Sus scrofa: one gene and its partners. The protein of the gene in region 2 purifies or fractionates together with the protein of the main gene of each other region. This does not show direct contact. Links are inferred from orthologs where the notes say so. Each region holds a gene or a part of one and is shown on either strand. Other genes may lie near its edges.

Evidence for each region.
Region 1: the proteins of ARRDC1 (region 2) and NEDD4L purify together in Homo sapiens (affinity purification with mass spectrometry; 3 studies listed by BioGRID and IntAct, counting the BioPlex papers as one, with this or other methods). This does not show direct contact. The link is inferred for Sus scrofa from reciprocal best matches to the Homo sapiens genes ARRDC1 and NEDD4L.
Region 3: the proteins of ARRDC1 (region 2) and HECW2 purify together in Homo sapiens (affinity purification with mass spectrometry; 3 studies listed by BioGRID and IntAct, counting the BioPlex papers as one, with this or other methods). This does not show direct contact. The link is inferred for Sus scrofa from reciprocal best matches to the Homo sapiens genes ARRDC1 and HECW2.

The regions. Positions count from the first base shown.
Region 1 is NC_010443.5:162,509,619-162,520,475, forward strand, and holds the start of NEDD4L (E3 ubiquitin-protein ligase NEDD4-like), read right to left. Parts: upstream 7,202-10,857; 5' UTR 3,939-7,201; coding exon 2,826-3,938; intron 1-2,825. UniProt on the Homo sapiens protein: E3 ubiquitin-protein ligase that mediates the polyubiquitination of lysine and cysteine residues on target proteins and is thereby implicated in the regulation of various signaling pathways including autophagy, innate immunity or DNA repair.
Region 2 is NW_018084833.1:396,102-406,831, reverse strand, and holds the start of ARRDC1 (arrestin domain-containing protein 1), read left to right. Parts: upstream 1-5,608; 5' UTR 5,609-5,681; coding exon 5,682-5,799; intron 5,800-5,834; exon of another isoform or gene 5,835-6,803; coding exon 6,804-6,902; intron 6,903-9,517; exon of another isoform or gene 9,518-9,619; intron 9,620-9,627; exon of another isoform or gene 9,628-10,123; coding exon of another isoform or gene 10,124-10,130; intron 10,131-10,140; exon of another isoform or gene 10,141-10,425; coding exon of another isoform or gene 10,426-10,442; exon of another isoform or gene 10,443-10,507; intron 10,508-10,730. UniProt on the Homo sapiens protein: Functions as an adapter recruiting ubiquitin-protein ligases to their specific substrates. Through an ubiquitination-dependent mechanism plays for instance a role in the incorporation of SLC11A2 into extracellular vesicles.
Region 3 is NC_010457.5:100,334,453-100,345,123, forward strand, and holds the start of HECW2 (E3 ubiquitin-protein ligase HECW2), read right to left. Parts: upstream 7,202-10,671; 5' UTR 7,200-7,201; coding exon 6,908-7,199; intron 1-6,907. UniProt on the Homo sapiens protein: E3 ubiquitin-protein ligase that mediates ubiquitination of TP73. Acts to stabilize TP73 and enhance activation of transcription by TP73. Involved in the regulation of mitotic metaphase/anaphase transition.

The DNA.
Region 1 (10,857 bases), on a different chromosome or scaffold from region 2:
AAACACTTAATGACATTGTAATGGGATTAGAAAACTGGCTCCTGAAACTTGTAAAATGCAGAGCCTGGCAGTTATTACGTAGGAAAGCCTATTGAAAGGGGACACTGATGCTGGTAAACAGTGATCCTGTTGCCTCAGAGTAATTATCACACGGTTAAGAAGCTCATAACCAAACCAAAGAACTCAAAACACTAATTTAAGATAATCAATTACTCATTAAATGACATTAATATGCCACAAATGGAACCAATACGTTGTGAGAACTCTGAAAACTTATAACTGATTATAACTCTAAGCATCCTTTCTACTTTACTGAGGTGTCAGACCAGGCGGGACATCTATGATCACAGGGGTTCCTGATGTTTCTTTTTCTAGGAATCTGATCAGCATTTTTTAGAATGACGTTGCATTTTAGATTTACTCACCACAGGATGTTTGGGAGGCAGAGACAGAGAAAATTACTCACGGAGGCAACCCTGGAATAAGGTCTAAGGCATAGATCATGAAATATAAGCACATTCGCAAAAGGGGGCTTGAATGCTTTTCCCAATCGGGAAATGTTTTTTGACGTTACTCAAAAACCAGACCGTAATCGATTTTTCATGTAAAATAGTAACGAAAATGCCCTTCTGACCAAAGCAGCAGATATGTGAAACATCAAAAACGCTTGGGGGCAGCCAGACTGTAGACGCCCAAGGGAATGTTTTCCCTCAAGATAAATAAGGCTGTGGCAGCTGCTGCCCGCACTTAACATCTCTGCCCGAGTGAAACACGTACAAAGTGTTGAATGGAGCAGGCAGTTTTGTTACGCCACCAAGTTTTGCTTTTGCTTCCTGAAAAAAACAGGTTTTCGCTTGAAAAAAGACCAGCTTCCCGCCAACTGTTTACAAATTTCTCTAAGTGTACAAAAATACAAATATGAAAATAAAAACTACTGTGCACTAGATGAAACATATTCTCTAAGAAAAGCTCTTTATTCCAGAGCTTTCATTTCCAAATTTGAAGAAATCTGTTTTCCACTGTAATAGCCCTTGGAAGTTGGAACAGTCTTTGTATGTAAACTACATAATTTTTGGTATGTTCTACTTGTTTTATAATTACATGAGGAACCTCAAGCCAAATGAGACTATAATTATATAAATCCATTTGTCCTCAACATTAACTGCAAAATGATTTAAATTTCTGATAACATAACTGAACAGTTGTCCAAACTTTTGGAAATGTGTTTTGTCAATCTCCACGTGGTAGGTGGTCCAAATTCAGCATGGAGCTGTGATGTCTATTGAAGCCTACACCTGTTGTGATGGTACGTTCTTGGGCTGAAGGTTAGCAGCTATTATCAAAATGTTATGGAAATCGGTACCCCTGCATAAAAATGGTATCACTTCAGACCAAGACAATGCACTCAGGTATCTTCTAATAAAGGAACTAGAGATAACAAGAGAAAATGGCTTGTAGAAGGGAAAAGAATAAGAAATAGTTAGAAAAATGTAATGTTTGCAATTTAGCATCTGATTTCACCTTCAAAATGGTGAAAACCAACGATGGAGCACTGATGAAGTTTTACTCAAGTGGCCAAAAATATTCCTCAACACAAAATAATAAAAGACACTATAATCCCACAATCATACTCAGCCAACCACTTTGAAAAGTCACAACTGGTAACTAAAACCCAAACAAAAAGTCTCCTAGACATTTCACTGTCATAGCCTCAAACCAGCAATCACAGGGAATTCAAGGAAAAAAACCCATTCAAAACACAAGGAGCCTGTCCTTTAAAAATAAAGCACTCAGAGCCTAGTGCCTAGGGATTATTAGTAAAAAAAAAAAAAAAAAAAAAAAAAAAAAAGCTAACCGATGGAACTTTTCATCCCATGACAAACTATGAAAGCTGCAGAGTCATCATTTGCCTGCTGGAGTTAGCAGCTGTCTTTCTGTACTCCATTTCACTGAAAGGGAGAGAGCAAGAACACAGGAGCAATAAAGGCCAAAATCTGTTGCAGGGCGTCTGATTCCACAGCTGGAGACAGGGCACTTACTATTCTATATACAGCAGCCCCGCTTAGACACTCAAGTGGGCCGTGTTAAATTGCAGGACTGTGCAATCTGACCATTAACAAGTTCCCAAATCAGTTTCGCCCTGCCTGGGCCCATAAGCCAAACTGCTTGAAAAACACATTTCCTCCTGTCCCACAAATGTGACTCCCCTTGTTCAGTATTACTTAATGGGACAAAATAACAACAACAACAAAGACCATAACTTACATAACAAGGGACAGCCCTCCACAGCTAAAAGGCCATTAGGAAGAACTGGTCAAACTTCGCATACCCTTAATTATTAAGCGACTAGATAAGTTTAACACAAAATTTTCTCTCTCTATTAGAACTGATAATTTTTAAAAAGCAAGTGTTGTCAGAGGCTTCATATGCAAGCAGCTTTTAAATGCACTTCCAACATCAACATGTTGGGGCCCTGCAGTTTCACTTAAAAAGTGATATGTTTTAAAAATTCTTTTATTCAGAAGGGAGGAAAAGAGCAGAAGGGGTTGTGTCTGGGTTTTCAAAACAGAGCTGTCTGACTTTGAGGACCTAAGGAAATGATATTTTCTGAAATGCTAACTAGTTTCATGGACCTCTACCAAAGGCTGGACCACAAATCATGGTCCCAGAACTCGGCCAAACATTAAGTTACTCTGGCCAGAAGCAAGGAAACTCCCAGAAGGGAGGCGGATGGAGTTTATTTTAATTATGCTGCAGAATCAGTCGGCTGAACTTGAATCAGTCCCTGCCGACAGGCCACTGCAGGGAAACGCACACTAACTTACCGGGGCGCTGGCTCCTGAGGAACCAGGGCAGGAGGCGTTATTCTCCTCGGGATTCTGAGGAGCTTCCTCTGGCCCCCGAGTCACAAGAATTCTGAAATGCTGCTGCCCCGCATTTTGATCTTGCCTGATCTTAAACGTGCAGCCCTGACCCTGCGGCGTCCTTTCCACGGAGTTGGTCCTGTGGATTTCGGGAGCCACCCTGCGGCCCCGGGGTGGTGTCTCCGGATGGCCGTGCTCTTCTGTGGGGCTCCCGCGCTCTGCTCGGGGCTGCGTGGGGTACGAGGTGCTCCTCTCTAGCCGGATGCGGGGATACCTCACCAACCTGTCCCCCTTGGTGCCGGTGAACCCGAAGTTGAAGTCACCACCCAGCCCTGGCACACCGGGTTGCGGCTGCTGCAACTGGAAGACAAAACACCGCTTCCCAGAACTTCCAGAAGCATCTGGAACGTGCTGCAGGGACCAGCGCCTGGGCTCCTGCGCCGACGAGCTGCTTGGGCCGTCAGCCCCGAAAGGCGTCAGCCTCACCTGGCGCACATCCGCGCTGGAGGCGCGGTGCTGGATGCGGAGTCCTCCGCTGCCCTCGGGCCCCTGGGCGATCGAAGGCTTGGCCTCCTCGCGGCCATCGGGGGCTGTGAGGCCGGGTGCTCGTCGGCCACACGTGCCGTTGACCTGCGGGCCTGGAGCCCTGGCGGCCCCGGGAGAGGGATTCTCGAGGCTCTTGGGCTCCGGGGTCTCAGAGCAGCCGCTCCGAGGCACTGAGCCCGCGTCGCCGTCCAGGCCCTCGGGGGGCCCGCACCCGTCGGGGGCCCCGTCGGCAGCTTTGCGCTGCAGCGAGATCTGCACGGATGAACTCCGGGTGGGCCGCGTGTCAACGGGGCTCAGGAGCTGGGGGATGAACATGGACGAGCTGCGCTTCAGCGCGCCCACGCCTGCCTGCAGGCCACCTCCGCCATCCTCCGCTCCATGAGAGGCAAAGGGGTGAGGGCCGCTCCTCCGCGGGAGCGTGTGGAATGCCATGAAAAAGTCGTCTTCTCTCTCCTGGTCTAGGATCTCTGATTCGGGGGCTGTGTTGCTGCGACCAGAGCCAAAATGAAACCGAAGCCGATGGGCCATGGTGCCCAGAGGGCCAGGGAGGGAGAGGGCGAGCGGCAACAACAAGCCCGGCGCTGCCAGAAGTCAAAAACCAAAGACACAAACTCCAAGAAAAAGTGTCCCATCTGCCAAACCTTTAGCACTGCGGCACTAAGAGCGACAGATAGCAGAAATAACCCAAGTGGCAAGCGGCATTCCAGGCATGATTGGATAAGAGCAAAAAGCTCTCATCCGCACTGTGACAGAGGGTAGGATAGCCAGAACCACATGACCGCTGTCTCCCCCTCCAATGCCAGCTTGTGGACTTAGAGGAGTTTTCCCCCCTCTCGCGCGCGCTCTCTCTCCCTCTTTTTTTTTTTTTTTTTTTTTAAACAGCAAGAGCCTGAAACAGCACCTTCCCAGCTGCTGCTTTTCCATCAGACAGGAGTGGCCCCAGCAGGGAGCTCTCACAGCTGACTAAGGCAGCAAACACACTCCGAGCCATGCTGCTATAAATCTAACCGCATTGGCGCTCACAGGACACTTCTTTCTGAACCAAGCAGGGCCCCGGGACTCTCCAACCAATGCAGGAGAGAGACCCGGCTCCTAACACAGAAAAGCGCCCATAGTATTCCCCCACCTACCCCACCACCTTTCCCACGAAACCAAACGTTGTTGAGTAAAAATGCCGGGGCTGCAGGAAAACCCTTTCTCCAGCAATCGGATGTTATGTTGCCCTGTTATTTATGATATCACCACACTACCATGATGGAATGCAAACTAATAAAACGTACTATAAATACGATTACACACCCCGCCATTTAATGCTAAATAATTAGACCATGACCTACAAGTAACAAAATAGCTAAGTGGAAAGGGGCACCGCTTACAACACTCCCCAGCAGTGGTCTGCCTCTGGTTACGACGTTTTTCATTTAAACGATGGGGGAGGGAGGTGCTGGCGGCACACCATCTCACACATAATAGGATTCTCGGACATGTTAGTGACCAGAGAAAAAGAACCCAGCTGGAGAAAACATTCTCTCCCATATGCCAGATAGGAGAGAAAACAATACCCCCGCCCCAAAAAAAAGGAGAAGGAAAATTAAAGGGTATGCATGTGGTTTCTGTAATAAGTTAATTTCAATACCATGCAGGAAAAAAAGGCTGACTGGAGCTGGCTGACTGTTTTCCAGTAAGAAGCCAGCAATATCAGCCCAGTTGGGAAACATAGAATCTTGACATTTTTGTGAAGGGTCAAAAAAGACCTAAGTAATAAAAGTGAAAGTCCACGTTCAAAAAGCTGTCATCGGATTTGTAGCTAACTTGGATATATTCTGAGTGTTTTAAACATACTCTTTTTCATTGTCCTGAAACACGAGTTATTAACAAAGAGGCTTATTTCGGAGGAAGTAAGAAGGGAAGGGATGTGGGAATACCAAGCTGCAAAAAGTGACAAAAAGTTTATTTTAATATATGTTGACTTTGTCAACAGCTCTGGAGTCCAGAGTGTGGAGGATTAACCTTGTGTTTATATACATCCAAACCTGTTTTCTAAAGGCATGTGTTTTAAATGCCAAAAATGATCTCTATGAGAGAAATGGAAGCTAGTTTGTTTAATGTGAAAACTGCCAAGTACCACTATAGTCACGTAGTGTCTCTGCTGGATTAATAGCCAACAAAGAAAAAACCACCAGCAGCAGCATTCACGCATAGTAACAAGGATGCAGACAGCCTGGGGCAAAGCTAGGTACATAAAACAGTTTTTCAGATAAAGTTTCACATGAGATTTCTTAGAGCTCTGCATTCAAAGCCCTATTCGGCTTGGAAGTATAAGTTTTAGGCTCATGGCAAGGTCCTCTCAACAACAGTGATTCTTTTAGATAAGGGAAATGGGAAACATTTTTTACAGAGAATTTCTTTCAATAGAAGAGTTAAATGAGTTAAAACACATCTGACAAGAGACAGTTTTTTCCACAAAGCTGACCATTTCTTCACCTTGAAGAAATGTTGTAAGACACAATAAAAGAGAGAGTAAGGATTAATCTGTGGCTCCATCTGTGGACTCTGGGACTCTGCTGAACTCTGCCCAATCGGTGTTTCTGGACAGGAGATGGAGCACCAAGAACTACACCCTCAAGCAGAATTTCTCATTTGATTTAACAGCAAAATAACTTCGTGCACCGGGCAAAACTGATTTAGCTATTCAGTACTACTAAGCATCACCCAAGGTATAAAATGTCAAGTTCAATGCAAAGCCGCCGAGAATCCGTATATTTGAATAGAAAATATATCAGGATGGTAGGCCAGCATCTGTTGCTTTCTAATTTGGAGAATAATTCCAGGCATAGGAGATCAAATATACTCCTAGGTTCAATACTAAGGGTTAAGGCCTGGCTATTCACCACCAATGGCCTGAGACTTAATAGACGGGCAGGTATGTAATTACATCAAGGCTCTAGATCTCAGTTCTCTCACATGCAAGGACAGGGAATTAAATGAGTTGTATTATAAGCCTCCTCCAGATCAAATATTCTATTAAACTCAAGCTATTCAAAAACTTGGAGTTTCAGGTGACTTCTGCAGAAGGAAGGATTCATAATAACATTTCCTTTAAGCAATTAATACATGGTTGGACTCCCCCCCCCACATCTGCAGGTTCTGTATTCACGGTTTCAACCAACTGCAAATCAAAAATATCTAGAAAAAAAATTCCAGAAAGTTCCAAAAAGCAAAACTTGAATTTGCCTCATGCAGGCAACCATATATAAGTATTTTTAACCTATAATCTATACAACATATTAGTACTAGTTTTATGCCTTAGGCATACCTCTGGTTCTTTGAAGGTACTTTCTTTGAATTTCCCTTGAGAAAGCACCGCTTTTAAAATACAGCTTAATTTTACCTGCTAAATATAGATTCACTTTTTGCTATATACTGTTAATTAGATTTCTGTCATCCCAAAGAGATTCACTATTGAACGTGTCACAGTCTCAAAGTCTGGCTTACATATAAAAATCCTGAAAGGTTTATTTCCATGAGTAATGAGATTTGCCCACCTCTTTGTATCCCCAACAGAGGAGTATAAGCATATATGGCTTGATATACCACCAGTGTGATGGTCATGAATATTAACTATGATTAAAAACTTACACAGGTACAAATAAATTTTGTCCTACCCACACAAAAATATTTGTTTGAATTACGAACATTAAACTAGTAATGGGACAAAAATAGTCTTTTTGAGGGACATGTATGCTGTGAGAAATAAAACACATATAGACTTTTTAAAGATGTGCTGAAAATTCAATTTTTAAAAAATGAAGCAAAAATTAAAAATCAGGAACCACTTACCAATCTATTTTCATCAAATACTTCAAACAAGAGTCTGTGATTAGATGGGTTTACCTGTAAGGGACAAAAATAATAATTGTTACTATTGATTTATTCTGAGGCATGTGGAAGTTCTGGGGCCAGGGACTGGACCTGAGCCACAGCAGTGACAATGCTGGATCCTTAACTCACTGAGCCACCAGGGAACTCCCAGATAATACTTTTAAAATGAGCAGAAATAATTCAACGAATGAAAAAAGAGACTGAAAGAATAAAATGCTTTTTAATGCACTCAAATCAGTTGTACAATATAAGCAATCTGCTCTTATGAAAATCCTCTATATACTAAATCAAGTTTTCTATGATTGATCGCTATATTATTTTACACCTAATATTTAGGCCTATAAGAAGGAGAAAATGGTTTAAGTCACTTTTCTAATGCGAGAAAGGATATTTCTAAACAGTTTCTTTTAAATTTATTTTTCTAGATAAACTTTTATTTTTAAAAGTTCCTAAGTCTCCGCTAAAAAGGCATCCTCATGCCTGTAGATCAAGGCTACATCCTCACAAAGGTCTATGTCCGAGGAAACCTCTAAGGCCTAAAAATAACAGCAATGATAAAAAAAAAAAAAGAATAAAACAGTAAAAGCATGTAAATAGTTAAAAAAAGCAAAACAAAACATTCCTATTGCATGTTTCCTTTTTAGGCACTATCTTCTTATTAAATATCAAAAATACATCATCTCATTTATTCTCAAAGCAACCCTATGATGTATAATTGTCACCCCGATTTTTACAAATGAGAAGCCGAGACCAGAAGGGTTAACTAACTTGCCCCAGAGCCCATAGCTGGTATGCAGGGCAACCAGGATCCCCATCAGGTCTAGCCTGCTCGTCTCCAAAGCCCACTCTCCGGACCATTAAAGAGACAAGGAAATAAAAGATGGTTCTGTTTCCAGCAACTGCGGGGTCAGTGTCAGAGCCACTAGGCCATGTCTGGTTTTTGCTTTTGTTTTTGTTTGTCTTTTTCGGGCTGCACCTGCAGCATATGGAAGTTCCCAGGCTAGGGGTCCAATCAGAGCTGTATCTGCCAGCCTACACCACAGCTCACAGCAATGCCAGATTCTTAACCCACTGAGCAAGGCCAGGGACTGAACCCGTGTCCTCATGGATATCAGTCGGGTTCATTACTGCTGAGCCACAACGGGAATTCTAGGTGATGTCTTTTTGCTTCTTTCTGTCTCTTCACCCAGACTTCACTGAAATAGCAGGAATCATCATTCACACTCAAGTGTCATTTCGTTAAGGACCAACCACATGTGTGAGATGTTGTGGGAAGTGTTGTCATTTCTATTAATGCACATAAATCCTAGAAACAAGCCTATCAAGTGAAGATTCTTCTCTTCTAGTGGGAGATAAGGAGCCAGAGGGGAGTGTGAGTCCTCAGGTAGCTTCTCCAGGGTCAGAATGGTTCTAAGTGCTAAGGCTAGAGAAGGGTCCCAGGTCCACTAAGCCCAGGCTGCTTCACAATGGAAAATGGAATGAGGTACAGAGAACACAACTTGTGCTTCTGACCCCTTGGGTTGCTCTCAGCCTAGTGATAGAGCGAGCAGGTGGACGGTGGAGGCTGGTGTCTGTTTGTAAGCTCAGTGAAGGGCTGTGCTGCTGATCAGTGCATCCACAGGCCATGCAGGAGCTGGCACACAGTAGGCACTCAGTAAAGATTTGTGTGATGAATACAGCAAAAATGCTTTTTAAAAGGCAAAAAAAAAAATAAGTAAATAAGTTTATGTTTAGAGCTAATGTGAAAGTTGAAGGAAAAAAAAACCTGAATGCATTAAAATTTACAGAAATGTGGCCATGGTGTTAAAATGAAAGAAGTCTAAGCAGCTTGGATTATTACAAGTGGAAAGCTGTATCTGAGGGTTAGCGAAAGGCCAATAACATCTAGCTGGCCCCATTACTTTTTCAGTCCTTCAGAAAATAATTTAAAATACATCTGGTAGAGGTTACATGTAGACTTTCACCAAATATTAAAATATCAATGCCATATTTTAGCTCTAAACATAACAGAAAACAAATGTCCTATATAGTGATCTAAGTCGAGGTACATAAAATGCTATTGTGTTTGAAAGGAAGAAATCACTTCTTTGGGAATCTACACTAATCAGAAGATCTTATCTAGAGCATTTCTGGAGGTAAATGTTTTTTAATATCACAGCTATACAGATGATTAAAATTAATTCATTCTGAAGAGGAAAAAATTCTTTTTTTTCCCGTTATATAGATGAGCAGTTTCATATTTTCAAAATTTCAGTACAAAAAAAGGGCAACAACCACAAAATCTCATTAAACAGTAATCTCCATTAATTCACAGAATTGTCATATCTACATATAGCTCTTCTAGATATTAAATATAAAAGGTTGAGGAAATTTTACTCGATTTGGTGATACTTAAACTCCAGAGGTGGTTTTATATTACACACATACACTCATACTGAATGTCTGAATTATAAAAATTTTCCTTACCAACTGGAATATGATTGGTAATTTTTAATCTTTTTAATCATGTTGCTTCTTTTGGGCTCATGTCTTACCGAAATAATTAAGCTACTGTTTTAGTTATATTTTATCTTTTTTTTAAAAGAAAAATTTGAATAGAAAAGCTAAAATATCATATTTGGATAAACTTCTTTTTGTTTCCCTTAAACATCCCCCAGTGAAATAAGTCCAGATTTTGCTACCACTAGTCACAGTCTTTGAAAACATGGGACACATCAGGAAGCTAACCAATTATTTCTTGTATTAAAAGGAATTTCATAATAAAAAAGTAATGGATTTCACTCTTAGGAGTCTGTTGTGATAATATATCAATATGGTTATTCTCAATAACAATCGTCAAAAAAAAAAAGAAAAAGAAAAACTTACTCTAAAATAAAATTCTTCATTCCACTTTGGGTTCAGCGTCTGGAAGAGAAATCATCTTGTAATTTCTTTTACAGTCTTTGAAACATTAACAGTTCCTAGTACAATGCAGTCCACATATTTGCTTAAACTTTTTTTTCCACTGAAAAAATAGCCGAGATTTTCAAAATGGCAATAAAAGAAGCATTTATTCAATTATTTGAGACTATTCTATAAACCAAACTAGATGGGGAAGGGATACATTTATGAAACAGATGATTCATAGATAAGAAAACCATAACTTTCCTATCAACCAGAAGGAATAATGTTGGGGACCTATAAAGAGCCATCATCATGAAAACATAAAGATATTCTTCAAGAAATTAACATTGATATGATTATTCTATCAAGAAGGAAATGAACTTTGTTTACTTCCCTCAGCCAAACTACAAATCTTTTCTGGACAGCAATGAAGCAGGTGACAGAGGGTCAGAGTGTTCACTATTTATATACATACTGAAATCTGTAGAATACTTTATAAAGAACAATATTGATCAGCTTATGTAACATGAAAAAACTCTGCCAGTTATAAACCAAAAGTCCATTTTTCCCCCAGAATAACCAGCTTTAAAAATATTCAGCTAGCTAGCCTTCAATCTTCCTCTCCATTCATCCATCCACCCATCCATCCATCTCCATATCAATCTATTTAAATATACATCTC
Region 2 (10,730 bases):
GTCTGGTGGAGGGAAGCCAGTGAGCGAGAAGCCAAGGGAAGTGTGAACGGACACGAGGGGTCAGCCTTGTCAGTGCTGCTGATAGGTCCTGGACGGCCAGTGCTGGGGATCAGTCAATACATCGTACAGCACCAGGGCACTGGGGACCTTGAGAAGTAAGTGGCGGGGCAATAACTCCAACAAAATGGGCTAGTTGGGGGTCTAAGGGAAGGATTAAAGACCTTGTAACTGGAGTTCCTGAAGTGGCGAAGGATCCGACTAGGAACCATGAGGTTGCAGGTTCGATCCCTGGCCTCGCTCAGTGGGTTAAGGATCCAGCGGCAACAGCTCTGATTAGACCCCTAGCCTGGGAACCTCCATGTGCCATGGGTGCGGCCCTTAAAAAAAAAAAAAAAAAGACCTTGCAATCGAGAGCTCTTCTATAACATTTTTGGTGAAAACAGAAGCAGAAAAAAAATGAGCCAAAGCAAGAAAGAAAAAGCAAGTCAAGAGAGATAGTTGGTTTCACTTGATCTTAGCCAAAGGCCGAGAAGCCAGAGAGATGGTTGGTTTCATGGTGGGAAAGGAAATAGCACGTTGCCTGCCGGTGGGAACAAGCCCAACCGAAGGAGAACCATCGAGACGATCGCCTGAGTGGGGAGCGTGGGGGCTCAGCAGGAGTGACCGGAGTGCGGGTGGTTAGCTCGCCTGCATTTGGAGGGAGTGGATGTGGATGCGGGACTCTGGGGCATTCTCTTCTTTAAGTTCCTGGGCCAGGGATGGAACCTGCACCAAAGCCGTGACCCCAGGCTGCTGCGGTGACGGTGCCACTCCTTAACCTGCTGTGCCACAAAGGAACTCCTGGGGAGTTCTCTCTCTCTCTCTCTTTTTTTTTTTTTTTTTTGTCTTTTTGTCTTTTTAGGGCCACACGCAGGACATAAGGAGGTTCCCAGGGTAGGGGTCTAATCGGAGCTACAGCTGCCGGCCTACACCACAGCCACAGCAACAACGCCGGATCCTTAACCCACTGAGCGAGGCCAGGGATCAAACCCACAACCTCATGGTTCCCAGTTGGATTTGTTTCCACTGCGCCACGACGGGAACTCCAGGGGAGTTCTCTTCTGCTGAGAACTTTCTACCTCCTCAAGTCAGTAGGAAATGAGGCCGTCAGCTAAAAGTGAGAAGGGGGCAGGAGAGCGGCTCCGAGGACGGGGGAGCTGGGAAAAGACAGGATGAGAGTGTCGAAGGGAGGCGGTCCCAGGTCTTGCCCGGGGCTTTTGAGTTGGGTGAGGAAAGGAGAGGGGACGGATCCGCGGGTTGGAGGTCCCCTCACGGTCCAAAGGATTGTTGACAGAGGAAGTGGCGAGGAGAGGAGGGGATTGAGAGCCTTGCGGACCTGACACCACGAGGGGCGCAGGTGCTGGTGATGATGGTGCCATCTGCTGACGTGTGACAAAACCACCCCAAAACTCACGGCTTAAGGCAACATCGACTTACTTTGCGGGTTCTGCGACTGACCAGGGACCTTCCCTTCCACACGGTGTCAGCTCCCTTCACTGGGGCTCAGCTAGGAATTCGCCTGGAGCTTCTCCCTTCTCGTCTTGGTCTGCTGTCGCTGGCGGCCTAGGCATGGAGCTCCGTTCTAGGGGGCAGGTCTCGGTGGGCCTCTGCTTGAATCCCGCCTCGGGCAAGCCTGGAGATCGTGCGGGAGGCCTGGGCGGAAGAGCCTAAGTCCCGAAAGTGCAAGTCGTTGATGGGCTGCCAGTGGGACAGGCTGCCTCCTTGTCTGTCCTCTGGCCCCCCATGATTTGGGCTCCTCCCACATGAAGACCCCAGCACCACCACCTCACCAGGGCTCTAGGCTTGGAATCCAGCAGCTAGCAACATGGAACAAGGCCAGAGGCAAGTTACCTGCCCCCCCAAGACCCAACACTCCGTGGGGAAGCACAGGGTGAGCGAATAGACACACTGTGCAAGAGGGGGTCGGGGGTTGCCCTTGCAGCCGCAGGCATCCGTCACCACGGTCCTCTTATCTCCCCCCCCCCCCCCCCCCCGGGCAAGTGGTGCCCTAACCCACCGTTTGGGCTATTCTCAGCTGCTCCCGCTGCCTCCTGGCCCCATGTGCTCAGTCACCTTCCCTTTTCCATAGCAGACTGGCCATGTTGGAGCAGCTTTCTCAGCCTGCTCGCCTGTACAAAGTTGGGGGCTGAGACCTCTTTTATTTTGAACTTTGTTCTTTTTTGTTTAAGCAGATACAACCGCTTAAAGCTTTGTGGATTTTCTGTGTATCAAATTATAACTCAATTAGATAAAAGCTACCCTGCAAATATCTTGCAGCGGCCCCTCTCTCCTGTGGGGGATGAGCCTGGTGTTGTGGGACAATGACCTCAAGACACTTGGAAAACTTTCTGCATGGCCGACAGCGTCTGTGAGGGTTCCCTCCCCTGGAAACCCTTCAGAGGTCTTAACAAGGGGTCACATCCCTCGCCTTCGGATTTTTTTTTTTTTTTTTTTTTTTTGGTGGCTGCACCTGCGGCACATGGAAGTTCCTGGGCCATGGGAGTTCCCATCGTGCTCAGCAGGGACTGACTAGGATCCATGAGGACATGTGTTCGATCCCCAGCCTCGCTCAGTGGGTTAAGGATCTGGCGTTGCCATGAACTGTGGTATAGGTCACAGACGAGGTTCGGATCCCGCCACGCTGTGTCTGTGGTGTAGCAGCTTAGCTCCCATTCGAACCCTAGCCTGGGAACCTCCATATGCCTCAGGTGTGGCCCTAAAAAGACAGAAGGAGTTCCTGGGCCAGAGATTGAACTGGGGCCACTGCGGTAACCAGAGCCACCACAGGGAACTCCCTCATGGTGTCACTTCTTCCCTTGAGAACTTTTGCTGCCTGGAAAGTCTGGGATTGAGAAATAGTTTTTACTTTCCAACTGCAAGACTTAGCTTGAAATGTTCCCTCCAGCTTCTGCTGGAACATGGACCATTACTGCTTTAGTTCATTTCTCTTTATTTCACTATGGCGTAAACAACGGAAAGAAGCCGTTTGGCCCTTGAAGCTTTCCGCCTGGGAAATGAGATGATTCGATCCATTTTCTGTCTTCCACGTTACCACAGGCAATGGTCGGGCCACTTTCCTGCCAATACTCGACCTGGCTCACTGTTCTCCAGCCTTCCCCAGCGGTGTCCCCACTGCCCTGCCGGAGTCCTCCTGCTGCCGATTCCAGAGTCAGTGCAGGTTTTAGAATTTTGTTATGGCAGTGTCTCGCTTCTAAGTGTCAGGGTCTGTTCCAGGCATCTGCTGGTGCATAAAAAATGACCCGGACCTTATTAGCTTAAAACAACTGTGGGAGTTCCTGGCGTGACTCAGCAGTTAACGAACCGGACTAGCATCCAGGGGGATGAAGGTTCGATCCCTGGCCTCGCTCAGTGGGTTAAGGATCTGGCGTTGCCACGGACTGTGGTGTAGGTTGCAGATGCAGCTCGGATCCCTCGTTGCTGTGACTGTGGCATAGGCTGGTGGCTACAGCTCCAATTTGACCCCTAGCCTGGGAACCTCCATATACCGTGGGTGCAGCCCTAAGAAGACAGAAAAGATACCAAAAAAAAAAAAAAAAAAAAAAAACCCAAACCAATTGTGGATTTTCTCATGAATCCATGGTCTAGACTGGGCTCAGCTGGTACCTTCTCCTGCTGTTGGCTGCTGTGGGAAATTGTCTCAAATTGTCGCCATAGATTCCTTCCCTCCATTGGTCGTAGGACTGTTTTGACGTGTTTACTGAGGTTCTGGGACTTCTGGCCCAGGCCTGAGGACTGGAAGCTTCACCTCCCTCCCTCTTGGCGGCCTGCCCACAGGTAACAGCTCACTACCTGGAGACCCTCATGCTGTGCAGAACCCCAAGCCACACTTGCTGAGAGGGCTAATGGAAGGGACACACGACCAGCCCCCAGCCAGCCCAGCCACTCCACTCGAGCTGTCATACAAAAGCAGAAGGATGTCTTAGATGCTCTGTCGCAGTCAGATCCCACGCAGAGCACAGCCCCCTGGCTGAGTGCAGCCTCGTTTTCAGAGTAAGTAGTAAACTGGGGTGGCTTGTTACACAGCAGCAGAAGCTGAAATGGCCAGGGCCTCTACGGCTGCAGTCATCAGGATGTGCGACCAAGGAGGCAGCTCTGAGAAGGTCTCTCTCGTGTCCAGGCTCACCCTCTGTGATCTCGCCAGCGGAGCAACCCGGACCCTCAGGGAGTGAGAGCAGGGGCCGCCAGCCCTCCTTAGAGCCTGCAGCTGGTGTGGCATCTCTCTCTGGCAGCTCAGGCAAGTCAAGGGGCCGGGTCGGATTCAACGGGAGGCCGCCGTGGGGCCCGCCGGCTGAATGCGGTTGTTGGGGGACGGCATTCCCACAGACGTAGGAGGGGCTGCCAAATCCACTGGGAAGCAGGGTCCTTGGAGGACAGGAGTCATGAGAATAAGCACTCTCCTTTTTGCTTGGTCTTTTTTGGGCCGCGCCAGCGCCAAGGGGAAGTTCCCAGGCTAGGGATCAAATCAGAGCTACAGCTGCCGGCCTACACCACAGACACAGCAACATGGGATCTGAGCCAAGTCTTCCATCTACACCACAGCTCAGAGCCACGCCAGATCCTTAACCACTGAGCGAGGTCAGGGAGCAAACCTCATCCTCCTGGATACGGGTCAGGTTTTTACCTCCCTGAGCACAAGGAGGAGTCCCCCAAATCTTCAGTCTGTTGTCTCCCCCAAACCCATCTCTAGAAGTGCCAGTTCACTTGGGTGCCCAGTGGGCACTTCAGACTCTGCTGGTCATGACTTTCTCCCACTGCCAAAACAACTTGTATCCTGGCTGGTCGTCTCCGTCAAAAAAAAAAAAAAAAAAAGCCACGCTTTTCACCCAGCTGTTCTGGAAAACTGGTCACCTTGACACCCTCCTTCAAGCAATCCCATATTTAACCCACCAGTGGGCGCCGGCACCCTTCTCTAATCCTAGCTAGACTCTCCGGGGTGCCAGCGAATCGGCGCCTGGGTGTTGCGCCCCATCCTTCACCTCTCTCTCCCGCTGCTGCGGGCCAAGAGTCCCCAGCCCGGGGCACAAACCCAGCCTAGCGCTGTCTCTCAGCACCGAGACGCGGGACGGGGGAGACCCTCCCGGGGCGGAGTCTGGGAGGGGGCGTCGGCCCCGCGCGTCCGCTCGGCAGGTGAAGCCTCCGCGCTCGCTGGGGCAGCAGGGGGCGCAGGTGTGCCAGGTTCCCGCGAGCCCCGCGGGCGCTCCACCCGGGCGGCCGGGGCGGGGCGCGGGGGACGGACAGAGGCGGGGCTGGAGGGGGCGTTGCGGGACCCTGGTTGCGGCTCACCGGGCGGCCGGAGCGGGCGCGGCGGGGTGCGGGAGGTGGCGGGGTGGTGCGGGGGGACGAGGAGAGGCGGGAACGGGCCAGGGCGGGGTCGGGGCACCGACCGAGGCCGGGCGGGCAGGAGCCGGCTCGGGGCGCTGGCTGGGGAGGGCTGGGAGCTGGCCCGGAAGCGGGGGCCGGGGCCCCGGCGGGGACCGGGGTTGGGGGGTGGGGGCGGTCGGAGAGCGGGGGCCGGGCGGGGCGGGGCGGGGGCGGGGCTCGGAGCGCGGCTGCTGCGGCGGCGGCGGCGGCGGCGGCGGGGTGGGGGCGTCAGTGTGCGGCTGCCCGGCCTGGGCCGCGGCATGGGGCGGGTACAGCTTTTCGAGGTCTGCCTGAGCCACGGCCGCGTCGTCTACAGCCCTGGGGAGCCGCTGGCGGGGGCCGTGCGCGTGCGCCTGGCGGCGCCGCTGCCCTTCCGAGGTGGGCGCGGGGTCCGGGGAGGGCCGCACCTGCGGGGCGGGGCGGAGCTCCCGAGCAGCTTCGGCGCTCCGGCGCGGCTTTGGGGGCGCGGGGCCTGGGACCCGCGAGGCCTTGGGCACCGCCGACCACCCCCTCCGCCCAGTCCCGCCCGCCCGGGGCACGGGTCCTGCCGGCGGGAGGGCTGCGGGGCGGCGGGGCGGGCCGCCGACCGCCGGGGTGGGAGGCCAGCGGCGGCCGGGGCGGAGCAGGGAGGCCCGTGTGGCCCAGTCCTTCCGCATCTGCCCTTCCTGTCCTCTCTGCCTACAGGCGGCCAGAGTCGAGGCGGCGGCTTTGAGCCGGTGCACCTCGGCGAAGGCCACTCTGATCTGGACCCAGGACGCCCCCGACCGTCCCTGTAGGGTCTCCGGTCCTCTGCGGCCCTCACCTGCTGAGTGGTCCTCATCTGAAGCCTGGCCGTCCTGGGCTTGCTCTCCCACATACCCAGGGTCCTGGCTCAGGGCCTCCTTCCTGACAGCCCCGCCGAGAGTGCAGATCCCCAGGGGCACTGGCTTACACCCAGTCTAAGGCTAGTTTTAGCGGGCTGGGAGGGTCTTGCTCATCCCAGGGAGCCCAGGCCCCTGGCCCAGCAGGCATCTGGGAGCTGAACCTGAGCCCTCCTGGCCAGTCACTCTCTGCTGGCGCAGACATCTGGGGCTTTGAGACTGGGGATCCGGTTGCTGCGGTGGCACTTGCTAGGGTGCAGGTCTCGTCCGCTGTCTGAGATGTGTTTGGGAATTCACACCTTGGCCAGGAGAGGTAGAGTGCGGTGCACAAAGCCACGGCCCAGGGCCTCTCTCCGGAACTCTGGCTCCGGCTGTGAGGCTGTGTGGTGTGTCTGTCCCGGGGTGCCGCTCTGTCTTGGGGGTGCTTGGCTATAACCGCAGCTGCTGGGCCTCCCTCTGGGCCTTGGCCCCAGGCCCCTGTGTGGCTGAGGACTGAGAGCCACTGTCCTTCTCTCTGGGCAGCTGCTGCCTCCATCCTGGATGGGTTGGACCCCAGACTTTCTCACTCTTTGAGGCACCAGGGGTCTAGGAAGAAGCTGGTTGTAGGATGCCTCTTGTCAGGTGAGCAGCTGTGTGGCGCCTCCTCCCGTGACTGGTGGCCTCTCTCCTGCTCTCCATTTAGAGTTCGGGGTCTGGGTGGGGTAGGTGTGGTTGTGGGAGCGGCACAGTGGGGACAGTGCAGCTTTTCTCTGGGGCACGAGCCAGAGGTAAGAGGTGCATGTGGCTAGTAGGCTTCTGGCCTCGGGGCTGGTGCCATGCAGCCCACAGAGACCCCACCCAGAGCTCGCATCCTGGCATGCCCGCCCTGTTGCCCTCTGGTAGCTGGGGCCCAGGGCAGACAGGCCATTGCTGACCGTGGTGAAGGAGTGGCGTGAGCTGTGCATGACTACCTTCGGCTGAGCAGAGCCCCCTAGGCTCCATGTGGTGGGTGGAATGTGGCTGGATGGACAGCTGGGCCGCAGGATCGAAGGAGCCCCTTCTGATAATCCTGACTATAAAAGTGCCCGCTGAGCCCTGGGTAGGGGAGGAACAGGTCAGGTCACGGGCCAGCCTGGGAGTTGCTCAGAGCGGGTACCAAGCGGCTTGCCCTCCAGGGGCAGAGGGGGTATGGCTGCCTGGGCTGCTGGAGGGCTCCAGGCCTGCCTGGGGTGGGAAAGGAAAGCCGGGGTTCTTTGTCTTTCACTCAGAAGATACTTGTTGGGCTCCTGCTACCAGCCAGTGACACAACAGGGAGGCCCCCCAGGAGGACACAGAGGATGGGGGCACAGGCCTCTAAACGCTTGACTGAGTGATGACCTGCACTCAGCCTTGAGGATGCTGGCAGCCGTGGGAGCTGATGTGGAAGAAAGCCAGGGAAGGAGCCGTTTTCCTGGAGCCCAGGTCTCGACCAGCCTGTAGTTGGCGGTCAGGCGGGGCTGCCCTGTGTTCTGCTCCCGAGGTGGGCGACAAGGGAGGGTGAGGCCCAAACTGCAGCCCCAGCAGCCCCAGCTCTGCTAGCTCCCTGAGCTCTGGCCGTGGGCTGGGGACCAACCCACGGGTCCTCCGAGCAGGCCTGGGAGGTGGGCGTGGTCATGCCTGTCGTGTTACAGATTTGGAGACAGGACAGAGGGAAGTGGTTCGCAGGCCAGAGCTGTAGAGAAGAGATGTGTTCCAAGGCCGGGCGGCCAGGTTCGCGGGGGCTGGGGGTGGGGTGGGTGGGAGAGACCTTTGGGACCAGAACAGAAAGAGGAGCAAGCAGAGGTCTTCCCTGCTGGATTGCAGGTGGTGCATAGGGGGAGGGCTGCTGGACAGGTGAGTGTGTTGGCTCAAGAGGAAAGTTCCAGAAGTCACTGTGATGCAGAATCCCTGTGATGATTTTGGAGAACCAGAGCAGCCTCAGGCCGCCCAAGACTGATTGGTGCCTGCCTTTTGTCATGCGTCCGAGCACTGTTATAACTGAACACTTCAGGGGTTCCCGCTGTGGCTCAGTGGGTTAAGAACCTGACTGGTGGTGCAGAAGTGCGGGTGTGATCCCCAGCCTGATGCAGCGGGTTAAAGGACCCGGCATTGCCATAGCTGTGGTGTAGGTCACAGATGAAGCTCAGATCCAATCCCTGGCCCAGGAACTTGCTCTTCCCTGTGCCACACGGGACCATAAAAAAGCCCAGAGCCGTCAAACGTAGAGGGCACCATGGGGTGCCGCCCCTTTGCCAGAACACACCTGGCCCTGCCCCACCTCCAGAAGCAGCCACCCCGCACAGAGTAGGGGGGACAGGCCTGCTGTGTGTCCACCCCTGAGCCTCCGCTGTTCTCCTTTGCAGGGGAGAGGAGACAGGGCGGTTTGACCCCAAGGCAGTGGCTGGAGGCTGCTCACCCAGGCAGGGTCCCCACGTGGCCTCAGCCTGCCGGCAGCTTGTTGAGAAGCTCGCAGAGTTCAGGCCCACCTGGGATGACCAAGTGTCGACTTGTTTTTTTGGGGTCAGGTGCTCCTGTGGCTTCTTCATCTTAATCCTGGGGCCACGTCCAGGCCGAGCCGGTGACTGTTTTCGCTGCCCTGCTGTGGGACACGGGGGCTCTGCCTAGATGGTTTGCGGTTAGGGGCGGTGTTGCTGGAGGATCCTGAGGAAATAGGGGGAGATTCTGAGAACTGCTGGACCTCCTGGTGTGTGTGTAGAATTGCCTGGTTTTTCTCCGGGGCCTTCGTTGGTCTGCGCTTGGATCGCTGTGGAGGGAATCTCTGTTTTTCTACCTCCTCTGTGACACTTGTCAAAATAGTTAATAGTTGCTAAGTTATCTGCGTTTCCCCAAATCCTAGTGAGGTTACACATCTCTTCTTTTATCTGCTGCTACGTGAAGGTCACAAGTAACAAATCACCCCTAGTGTTCCATGGTGATCTGGCGTTGTCACTGCTGTGGCTCGAGTCACGGCTGCCGTGTGGTTTCAGTCCCTGGCTTGGAAACGTGTGTGTGTCTCAGGTGCAACCAAAAACAGAAAAAAAAAAAAAAAACCAAAACCAAAAAACCCTAACCTAAGTGGTTTTATCATAGCTTGTGGTGTCGTGCGTTAGGAATTTGGACAGAGGGGGTTCCGGTTGTGGCTCAGCAGTAACGAACCCGACTAGTATCCATGAGGATGAGGGTTTGATCCCTGGCCTCCCTCAGTGGGTTAAGGATCAATGCCATGAGCTCCTGTGTAGGTTGAAGACGCTGCTTGGATCCTGTGTTGCTGTGGCTGTGGTGTAGGCCAGCGGCTGCAGCTCCAATCTGACCCTTAGCCTGGGAACCGCTATGTGCCAGAGGTGTGGCCCTTAAACAACTAAAAAAAAAAAATGGGGGCAGAGGTGGGTGATTCTTGAGCTCCATGTGCCATCCACTGGGGTCCCTCAACAGTGCACAGCTGGCACCGGGCCAGTCCGGGGACCACTGTGCCTCTCCAGCATCCTCTGTCCCCAGCACTCCCAGGGCAGCCCAACCCCAGGGGGATGCGCCCTCTCCACGGGAGGTGTTGAAAGCAGGGTGGTGTCTGGCATCCACCAGCATGTCTTCTATTCGCTCTGTAGTCAGGCTTCCCCTCCTCTGCCTGTTCCCCACGTTTCTTTTGGGCTGCCTTAGTCTGTAGGAGCGCCCCAGTGTCCCAGACTTCCAGGGTGGGAACAGTTCCGGGTCTGGCTCTAGGAGGGGACGACTGATGGAAGGTGGATTAGAAATGAGGGCTGAGGCCCAGGTGGTGAGGCTGGGCTGGCCTGGAGGCTGAGGGCCGGTCACGGGCAGTGCTGATAGGCTGGAGGACGAGCCGCAGGTGCATGGCGGGTGAGCAGCAAGGTGGGGCCAGCTGGGGAGATGGCGGACAAAGTCTGTGTGGCTGACCCCTGGCCCTGGGCATTTGAAACCTCAGGTCTTCCTGCCTGGTGGGTCTGTCAGGAGGGCGTCAGATTCTGAGTCACCTTCCCTTCACCTGTCCGTCAAGTCGGGGAAGGCAGAGGAGCTGGGCAGACAGGCTAAAGCCTTTGGCCTTGACTCAGCCCTGCAGGGAGGGGAAGGATGGACAGAGCTGCAGGGCCCCCCGTTGCTGAGCTCCCGTCCCCCACCCTGCTTGTGTCTCCAGTTGTGGCGTCCTCTCTGGTGAGCAGCTGCAGCTGAGCCTGGTCCAGCCATGGCCTTCTGACCATCATGGACTCTGGGCACAGGTCTCTTGGACTGACCAGGATGCCCCTGGGCTGCCACAGTTCCTGCTTTGCGTGCTTCCTCTGGGGAGTGGGGTGTCTGCATGCAGGAATCAGCTCTCCTGGGCAGTACTGGCTCAGGAAGCCCAGGGTGCCCCCACCCTCTGGGCCAGACTGCTAGGTTCCCTACCTGCCCAGGCTGGTCTGACCACATTCTTGCAGAGTGCGCTGGTGGCCGCTAGCTTCC
Region 3 (10,671 bases), on a different chromosome or scaffold from region 2:
AGGATCTATATATTGCCTAAAATGCCTTATGAAAGATTTATGTTTCTGATCTGGGAGGATATATTTTCCCTCCAGATTAGCAGTGCTGAAAGTCATCTGGAGCAAGTTGTACAGTGCAAAACATTATTAGCAATTAGCGAAAGAAAAGCAACACACACTTCAAGGTAGGAAGAAAACGTTAAGCCAAGAGAAACATGATCAAAATGTGAGAATGTGCCAATAAGCCACACCCCGCAAGCCCTATCTTCCACCCAAATCCTTTCCCTTTGGGACTTATTTCTATAGAGACCATCTCTCAGTTCCACAAATAAAACTAGCTGTTGCTAGGAAACAGTCCGGCTTCTCAGGACACAGCTGAAGAGGAGTGGCTGCTTCCTACTAAGAGGTAAAGAAACCTGAAGCTATTCCCACTACATGTGCTATTGTTATGAGCTCTACTTCACAGAGCCTGACAGAGAACTTATTATGAATATTCTTCTTTAGTCATAACAGCCTTGAGTTTATGACATCACTCGGACCCTGACATCCCCATTCCAGCCCTGCATTTCCTCCTTTCTTTCAAGTCTTCTCCAAATGCATTATCTTACCCCAAGAAAACTGCTCTGCATGTTTTCAGATTACTAAATACTCATTTAAAAGATGCTGCCTATCACATCATTTGTCCTGATAAACTTTTGAAAATTTCTGCCTGGCTTGGAGTTAACCGTTTTCAAAATTTTTCAAATTTTTCAAAATATGGTTTACCTATGTGAAAGCAACCTGAGCATGCTCCCTGAAGCAGCAGCTATAGAAGTAACCGACTCACTCTTCATCCTGTCTTTAAAAGCAGTTGTGTTCCTCCTTTTCTCTTTCTCATCTTTAGAGCCACCCTAGCAGCTCAAGAACTGCTGGTACTGTTACCAACCACAGTTCTTGGCCTTCCTTAATCAGTAAGATAAGAGGCCAGACAAGAAATTCAGACAAGGCTTTGTCAGGGCTCCTGCTGCAGCATGAGGGAGCAAAAACAAGTCAACAGGTTCCCTCGCTGGCTCCCAAGGGATGGCAAGTTGGTTCCTTACATGAGGTGAGGCTAGGGGCGGGTCCAAGGGTTAGGCCAGAGGGTTGTCTAGGGGTGGTTTGCCCATCCCGTGGCTGGTGGTGTGAGCAGGGTACATGCACAGTAATATGCTTTTGATTGCGGTTCTTTGTTTTTGCTCCAGCTCTTCATCAGTGGCAGTTGGGATGGGGGGGGGGTTGGTCTTTGCATCTTACTGTCCATAATGTACCCCAACTGTGCATGCATACAGTTGCTTTTAGTCCCTAGTAGTTTCTTTGGTTTTTGTTGCTAGAGGAGATGTTTGTCCACATGCAAGCACTGTAGCCAAGGGTCCTAGGTCTCAGGCCCCAGCTTGTCTCAGTACAAGAAAGCCTCACTAATGATAACTTAAACAGAGGTGAAGATTCTTTTTATATACAGCAAGAACTTTAGAGTGCCAGCCCAAGCTCTTTCCAGCTTTCTGCTCTGTCATTCTTGGCTTTTAACCTTCTTGATTGATAAATTATGGTTGCTACATGGATGCAACGACTAAAGATAGCACATCCTTTCACCAGAGTCCCAAATGCAAGAGGAAGGGAGGTTTAAAGATTCTCTTCATGAGGCTCCAGCTTTTCACTGGAAAAGGAAGTTCCTCCAAAGTCTTTCCTTTACATATCACTGGCCAGAACTGAGTGACATGGGCACACCTAGACTACTTACTTACTAGTTGGATTACCACATAGGTTTAGACCTTTCCTGAGCCTGGAGGGGTCCAACCTGCCCTGAGTCCAAGGGCTTGCGGCCCATCCCCTAGTTCCATAAGGAAAAAGGGATCAGGGATGCATGTCAGTTAAAGACCAGAGTGCTGCCAGGCCTCTCTCATCACATGGGATAGCAAGTCCCCACAGAAGTGAGACTGCCTCCAGTCCAGAGGTCAGAACAGTCCTTTCTTGCCCCAGGAGAAAAATAGCTATCTCTGCTTAAAGCCAGGTCTCTGTCACTCATTTTGAGGTCCCAAAGAAGCTAAGCTTTCTTTTAAACACAGCTGTGGCTCTGCAACTATATAACTGAGCCATACTTCATGTTCTAGATTTTAGGACCTGTGCCTTTTAATGCAGAAGACCTGCTAAAACCAACAGCATGCCTGAAAACACCACGTACCTCATTCAACTTTCATGGTATTTTTATTTCCAAATGCTAGTCTCTGCATTCATCCTAGTCCTTTAAGAGATCTGAGGGTGCCAACTCCTCATACCTCTTCCATGCTACAGACTATAAGAAAATACACCATGAAGAAGACAAATGGCTGGAACTCAAACAATCACTTATTAATTACTCAGAGTTCTCTGGAAATGTGTAGATGGGAAAATTAAGTGGAACCTCTTAATGCCTACCCTAAATCAAAAGCAGAGGAGAAACTTCTGCTCCAGGCCATATTGTAGTAATTAGTTCCAGACTCATCTTCCTAAGGAAACAACTGTAAAACTAAAGGGCAGTGGTTTTCAGACATTACAGAATAGGTGGCATAAGAATAAAATCCCAGAGAGAAGGTAAAGTGATAAGGTATTTCTATGACCACACAGATCTCTGCCAGGGGACAATTTTTTTGAGTGCAGTACACAGAGTTAGAGGCCATGTAAGTTAGCAAGAGCTGAAGAGGCAACAAATGGAGTTTGGGTCAACTGAAGTGGCTACAATCTCCAGGCAAGGCACTGGAAAGGAAAGAGCTATGGAGGTACAAGGGCCAAAAGTCCACATGGGGGTCCCCCACAAGCCTTTGGCCAAGGTCTCTGCTGCACATGTGTAAGGTGAGACTACCAAGGCTTTCCAGAGAGCAGCTGCTACAGGGCTGAGAATGCTACAGTTAAAGAGGTTAAGCAATGCTGGAGAACACTGAAGTTACAGCCCAGCCAAACAGAATGGTTAACATTCCAGGCATCCAGCTAAGACATCAGAAATGCCACTACTTAGGAATAAGTGCAAAGTCCTATAGTAAAGCCCACCATAGACTCTAACAAATCTCCAAACCAAACCATAACAAAATCCACAGAGGAGACCAAACGTGGAGGCCAAATTTCATCAAGTTAGAAGTGCTGGGTTACTACACTGGGCTTTCCATAGATCCATTCTAACAAAGCATTAAATCACAACTAGTAAGCTCAAGGAAATAAGCCTGCCGACTAGAATAAAATTAACATTAAAATAAAAATTATCCTATGGAACTCAGGATTTCTACAATATAGACTCTTCAATGTCCAGTGTAAAATAAAAAATTGCTAGATACACAAAGAAATAAGAAAATGGGACTTATGGTCAAGAGAAAAATAGACAATAAAAACTGACCCTCAGATGCCCTCATCCTCCAGATACTGGCTTTAGCAGATAATTTAAAACAGCTGTATTCAAATGAATTAAAAGAACTGAACAAAAATATGGTCTGATAGAGTTAAGATATAGGGACTCTCATAAGAGAAATTAAAACCATAAAAAGAGAAATGCAAATTCTATCAATAAAAAGTCAAATATCTCAAATTTTACAAGTCATTGGATGGGACTGACAGGAGAATGAAGATAAAAATAGAAAAAGTTAGTGAACTTGAAGACAGGTAAAAAGAAATGATTAATCTGAATAGCAAAGAGATTGAAGAAAAATTAAGAGCCTTGGGGCCTCACAAAACAACATGAAATGATGTAACATATGTGTAACTAAAGTCTCAGGAAAAAAAAAGGTAAAAATAGAAAAAAACCTGAAAAAAATAACGGCCAAAATTTTCACAACTTTCATTAAAAGCTCAAAATTTTCACAACTTTCATTAAAAGCTCAAAATTTTCACAACTTTCATTAAAAGCTTATTTAACACACTCAAAGAAAGAGTTCCTGTCATGGCACAACAGAAATGAATCTGACTAGGAACCATGAGTTTGTGGGTTCGATCCCTGGCCTCACTCAGTGAGTTAAATATCCAGCGTTGCCAAGAGCTGTGGTGTAGGTCACAGATGCGGTTCAGATCCTGTGTTGCTGTGGCTGTGGCATAGGCCAGCAGCTATAGCTCTGATTCAACCCATAGCCTGGGCACCTCCACATGCCACGGGTGCAGCCCTAAAAAGCAAAAAAAAAAAAAAAAAAAAAACTCAAAGAATTACAAGCAGGTTAAATAAAAACACAGCTAGATATATCATTGACAAACTGCTGAAAGATAAACCAAGATAAAGAAAAAATGTTCAAAGTAGCCAAGAGGGAAAAAAGAGATAGATTACACACAGGAAAGCAAAAACACAATGAGAATATATAGTAAAGACTTAGAAACTGAAATAAACTAAAGAATAGCACTTTCAAAAGAGATTTATTTCCTAATACTATTTTCCTACCTATATCCTTAGTTAATTCCAGATGTAGTATTCTGATCTATACTCTAGAAAGTGAAAAATAAGAACACCAAGATTTTGTGACTTTGGCTACTCGGGAATAAGATAAATTTGGCTTTGGATTCCTTAGTTCCTTCTTAGTTAAATATAGTCAGGGATCTCATACTAAGTGAAGTTAAGTCAAAAAGAGAAAGACAAATACCAGATGTTATCACTTATTTCGGAATCTAATATACAGCGCAAACGAACCTACCTACAGCACAGAAACAGACACACTCACCAGATGTGGAGAGCAAACTTGCGGTTGCCAAGCGGGGGGGGGATTGGGAAGGACTGGGAATCTGGGTTAGTAGGTACAAACTGTTACAGTTAGAATGGATAGACAATGAGGTCCCACTGTATAGCACAGGGAACTATGTCCAATCACTTGTAATGGAACATGAGGAGAGGGAATATAAGAAATAGAGTGTGTATAGATGTATGACTGGATCACTTTGCTATACAGCAGAAATTGGCAGAACAATGTAAATCAACTACAAAAAAAATTTTTAAGTACATACAGGGAATGGGAGTTCCCGTCGTGGTGCAGTGGTTAACGAATCCGACTAGGAACCATGAGGTTGCGGGTTCAGTCCCTGCCCTTGCTCAGTGGGTTAATGATCTGGCGTTGCCATGAGCTGTGGTGTAGGTTGCAGATGCGGCTCGGATCCCGAGTTGCTGTGGCTCTGGCGTAGGCCTGCGGCTACAGCTCCGATTAGACCCCTAGCCTGGGAACCTCCATATGCCGCAGGAGTGGCCCAAGAAATAGCAAAAAGACAAAAAAAAAAAAAAAAAAAGTACATACAGGGAAATATAACAATAGGGTAGAGAAACAGAAAGGAAGATAGGGGGAAAAGTATGGAGTAATAGAAGTCACTGTCCACATAGGAATCCTAAGTGATTCTAGCATCTTACAGATTAAGCGATTCCCACAGAAAAAAGATATCATCCTATGTGAGAAAATAACACTGATTATGTCCCAAAGAAATATCAAATGAAGATCACTAAGAAAACAGTCTATTTGTAGTCTTATATTAAGCATTACAATATCTAAAATGAGAAAAAAAGGAAAAAATATGACAAAACTGAAAAAAAAAATTATGAAATCCAGAAGGGTGAAATCAAAACCAAAAGAGTTACTTCTTAAGTCACGTCAAAACTAAGATTCTTTTGTGAACATAATAGATATCAGATATAAAAACAGAATTGTTAAATCATGTCTCTTCCTCACTATGAATATATATTTAAACGCACCTGGGTAAAGGGCTGAACACTGAAAACTTTTCCTCCCTTTTTTTGTCGTAAGAAGAAATAGAAAAATAAAAATGCATTGAATTTTTTGGTTGCCACATTTTGCTTTTTAGCATGATTAAATATTAAAAAATATGTAAGTAAATGCAAATCAATTTTATTTTAGTCAATATAAAATTCTCTGTCCAGAGAAACATAAAGGGCAATGGGTTCAACATTTTAATAAAATTTCAGCAAGGATATTACTTTGCCTCAACCAGGGTTTCTCAACAGTGGCACTACTGACATGTGGGGATAGACAATTCTTTGCTGTGAGGGGCTGTCCTGTGCATTGCAGGATGTTTAGCTGTACCCCTGATCCATTACCCTCACCCAGTTATATCAGCCAAAAATGTCTGCAGACATTGCCAAATTTATTCACATGCACACAAAAATATGCTTGATTTATAATCTACATTGAAAGCCACAGTGTCTCTCTGATAAAATATCTGTTAAATTTTTAAAAGGATTCCCTTTATTCAGTGAAAAAGTTCTCCAATTTTGGGGAGAGGTGTTCGATTTTATTACTAGGTTAAGTTTAGATTTTCTTTATGATAGATTAGTAGGTTTCGACTTTTGCTTTCATATAAAGCAGGCTTTATATTTTCTGGGATGTGCTATTCATCAGGCACTCACCTATGAATAACAGATGCAAACAAACAGAGATGGGACACTATTTTAAAAAACAAAGAGCAACCTATTTCTAAGTCATTTGTTAGGACAATGTGACACTTTCTTCACCTAACTGATCCAGGACACATTAATCAATTTTGAAATAAAGATACTTTAGACTGAAAGTTGTTCTTAACGAAATTCAACATTTAGAAAATATGAAACATTTTTTTATATCAGTTATCTAAATCTAGACAAGATTTTCCTTGGTTTAAAAATACTAGTAAATGTTAATAGCAACCTCTTTCCAAAATGGGGCTATTGATTAAGGGGAAAGTGAAGTTTTAAAAGGAAAATATCACAGATTCTCACATTTAATTAAGGCAGAGATATAACCACAGAATTCATATCAGCAAAGGTATTTATAAATGTTGACTCCCCCACCCTCAAGACGAAAGAAAAATTCCTAGGATCTGCCTGGAATTTATGTATGTGAATTCCTTCCCAGGAGAAACCACAGAATAGAAAATGTCAGAGTGAAATGTATGCTCTAAGTCATGAGCAAGTCCATTTTGTTTGACTCACCTATGTGATAAAGTCCAATCCAATCACTCGGGTCCACCTCCTCTTTAATGTCCCAGAAGATAATGAGGTTCTGGGCTTGCCCCAGCGTGTACTCATACATGCTGGCAGTCAGGCTGGACCGGCTCTCAGAAGTCACCAGATCTGTGTCGCTGTTGGCCCGCTGCAGGGTCATGTTCTCAGGCATGGAGCTCTGGGCAGCCAGGCTCTGGAGGTTCTCTGGACTCAGAGTGTACCGCATCTGGGGATTTCGCCGCCGCACAAAAAGCAGGTGCTCCCGGGCTGAGCTAGCCATCCCGTCTCTGAGGTTGGCTTCCTACAAAGCTGTGAGAGACAAACAAGCACAAAGCATTAGTGCTACAATGTGAGGAATTAAGTTTAAGCTTCCCAAACGTAAAGACGTTAGGACATTAGGACCGCTTGTTAAAGCCTAGCCATGCCATAATCTTCTGCTGTCAAAATAAAACCTATTATTCGACTGTCAACGGATGATGTCAGAAACCACTTCTATACACTGAGGTCACATGATGTTAAAGGTCATCAAACACCTGTGGCCCTCGATTTCACTGGCCACCGGCTTCCTCCCGGCAATTAAGGAAGGGATTTCCCTGCCATCCCTTGTATGTCTATCCTTTTCCCTTTAGAAATGGTAGCCTCTTCTCCTTCCCCTCACGCACATATTTATTTGATGATGCAGTTAAATTTTAAAATAGCAGGACAGAAAATTCTGACACATGGAAAACAATTAAAATACACCACTGAGGACAAGTTTACTTGCCCAGTTTCCTTCACATAGGAATAAGACTCACTAAATCCCTTTGCAGTAGTTTGCTCAGATGTCACCCCCTCACTTAAATACAGCTGCTATTCTATTTAAATCTGTAAAACCCAAGCATTTTCTACCCCTCTTTCCTTGCCTTACTTTTCTCAAAAGCAATTACTACAATCCGATGTCCCACAAAGTACCATACACATATTTGTTTGGTTATTGTTTAGGTTTCCAAACAAGAATGTAAGCTTGGGGAAAAGATAGTCTCTTCACTATATGAAGATGGAAAAATTAGGCAACTATATGTAAAAGAATGAAACTAAACCACATTCTTACACCATACACAAAAATCAACTAAAAATGGATTAAAACTTGAACATAAGACAGGAAGCCATAAAACACATAGGAAAAAAACAGACCAAACATTCTTTGATATAGCAATATTTTTTTGGCTCTGTCTCCTAAAGCAAAGAAAACAAAAGTAAAAATAAACAAATGGAACCTATATAAACGCAAAAGCTTTTGTAGAGCAAAGGAAATCACTGACCAAACAAAATAATCTACTAAATGGGAGAAAAATATTTGTAAATGATAGGACTGATAAGCGATTAATATCCAAACTATATAATCAACTCATACAACTCAATATTTAAAAAAACAAATTTAAAAAATAGGCAGAAGACCTGAATAGACATTTTTCCAGAGAAGAAATACAGATGGCTAACAGGCACATGAAAAGATGCTCAGTATCACTCATCGTCAGGGAAATACAAATCAAAAACACAATGAGACATTGCCTCACACCTGTCAAGATGTCAAAAAGACCACAAAATAACAAATGCGGAGAAAAGGAAACACTCCTACACTGTTGGTGGGAATGTAAATTGGTGCATTTACTATGGGAAACACTATAGAGGTTCTTCAAAATATTAAAAATAGAACTACCATGTGATAGAGCAATTCCACTTCTGGGTATACAGCCAAAGGAAATGAAAAGAGGATATCACAGAGATATGTACACTCCCGTGTTCATTGTAGGATTATTCATAATAGCCAAAACATGCAGATAACTTAAGTGTCCATCAGCAAATAACTGAATAAAGAAGGCATAGTACATACATGATGGGATATCACTCAGCCATGAGAAAGAAGGAAACCCTGCTATTTGCAACAACATGGAGGAACACTGAAACATCATGCTAAGTGAAATAATTCAGAGAAAGAGATATACTGTAGTATCTCACTTACATGCGAAAGCTAAAAAAAAAAGTCAAACTCTTTGAAACAGAGAGTAGAAGAGTGGGGGTTGGTGGTAACACGGAGGTTGGTAAAAGGCTACAAACTCTCAATTTTAAGATGAATAAGGTCTGAGGAGCTAAGGTAAAACATGAATGACTATAGTTGATAACATCATTATCATATAATTGAAATGTGCCGAGAGAGTAGAAGGTAATGCTGTCACCAAAATAAATAAATCAATACATAAGGTGATGGGTGTGTTCATTAACTAGATGGGAATCCGTTTCACAATGTATACATATAGAAAAATCAACATGATGTACCTAAGTATCTTATTATTATCAATTACATTTCAATAAAGCTGAAAGTTAAAAAAAAAAGAAGAATATAAGCTTCACAAATGCATGTTTTGTTTACTACTCTATCCCCAGTATCTCCAACAGTGCCTGGTAGATAGATAGTACATATCAATAAATGCTGAATGAACTGATCAATGACAGCAGCATCCTTCCCCTAGATACTCCTTAAGCTCTGAAGAGATACTCCTGACTATTTCCTAGATACTCACGGCTTGCAACCTGAGGCCCTTTTCTGGAACGGCTCATTGCCATTCCTGATTTTCTGACTGGTCCACATTATTTCTACCATTTGGACCCATGATAAGCCACTTCCTTTGGTTCCCACTTGGCCTCCATCTAAAGGAACAGAGCCTGTTTGAACTTAGATCCAGCCCCGCTGGCTCACTTTCAGTCTAGTCCTAAAATATCCACTTTCTTCCTCACTGCCAGACTCTGACAGAGATTCTTTCCAAGACCTCTGTACTTTCCTCTAGCACATCTGAGGTTCCATCTGCCAGTGCCTTTCCTGCACGTCCATGGATTCACACCCCCTCACCCAGATGCCACAGGCTCTACACGGAATGAACCTGGCCCTCCCCCACACTACCCCTTTCAGGACGACAGCCTTCACTATTAGGTTTATGGATTTAACATTTACTCTGCATCCTTATTATGTGCCGGTCTCTTCAATATGCTACATCTTTTCAAATGGCCACCCTGCAAGGTGTCCTGGAATGTCAGCATGAACTTCCATGAAAAAAAAAGTAATCTTGGGTTCAATATTTACATTATCCTTAATAATCTTGGCTACCAAGTCTGAGGAAAGAAAAAAGGAGTAGGGTTACCTAATTTCTCCCATCCCTCATCCAATTCACAACCACTTGGGTGAAGGGGACCTTCTGCCATTGCAAAGGTCACAGTACTTGTAAATGTACTATTGATTCAATTAATTTCTGTCATGAAGTTGATCTCTTATTTTTAGCACTACCTCTTGAATTACCGATTGGTGGGCAAGATGTCCTATGTAAAAAGAGCAGAAATAAAATGAACACAGAAACTAATTCTTCTTCATAAATTTAGCACTTGTTTTCCTTACGTGGTATATAGTAACTCTGACATCATAATACAATCCATAACTATGAGACATCTTCAAATCCATGAAGCCTAAAATTCAGGTCAACCTCTAATCTGACGGTTTCATGAAATTTTCATTTTATTGGATTTCAACAGGCCATTTTTGTCTGTCAACCCAGAGTGAATCCAACAGCACATCAGCTTCAGCAAGCACTATAAATAATTAACTCTTAACACACTATAGTCAAATAGAAAATCCAGGCTGCACATAACTAAGCTACTTCCCTGAAAGAAAGAAATAGGCCAGAACCTTTACAGCTTTAAGCCATAATAGAAAACTGCTTTGC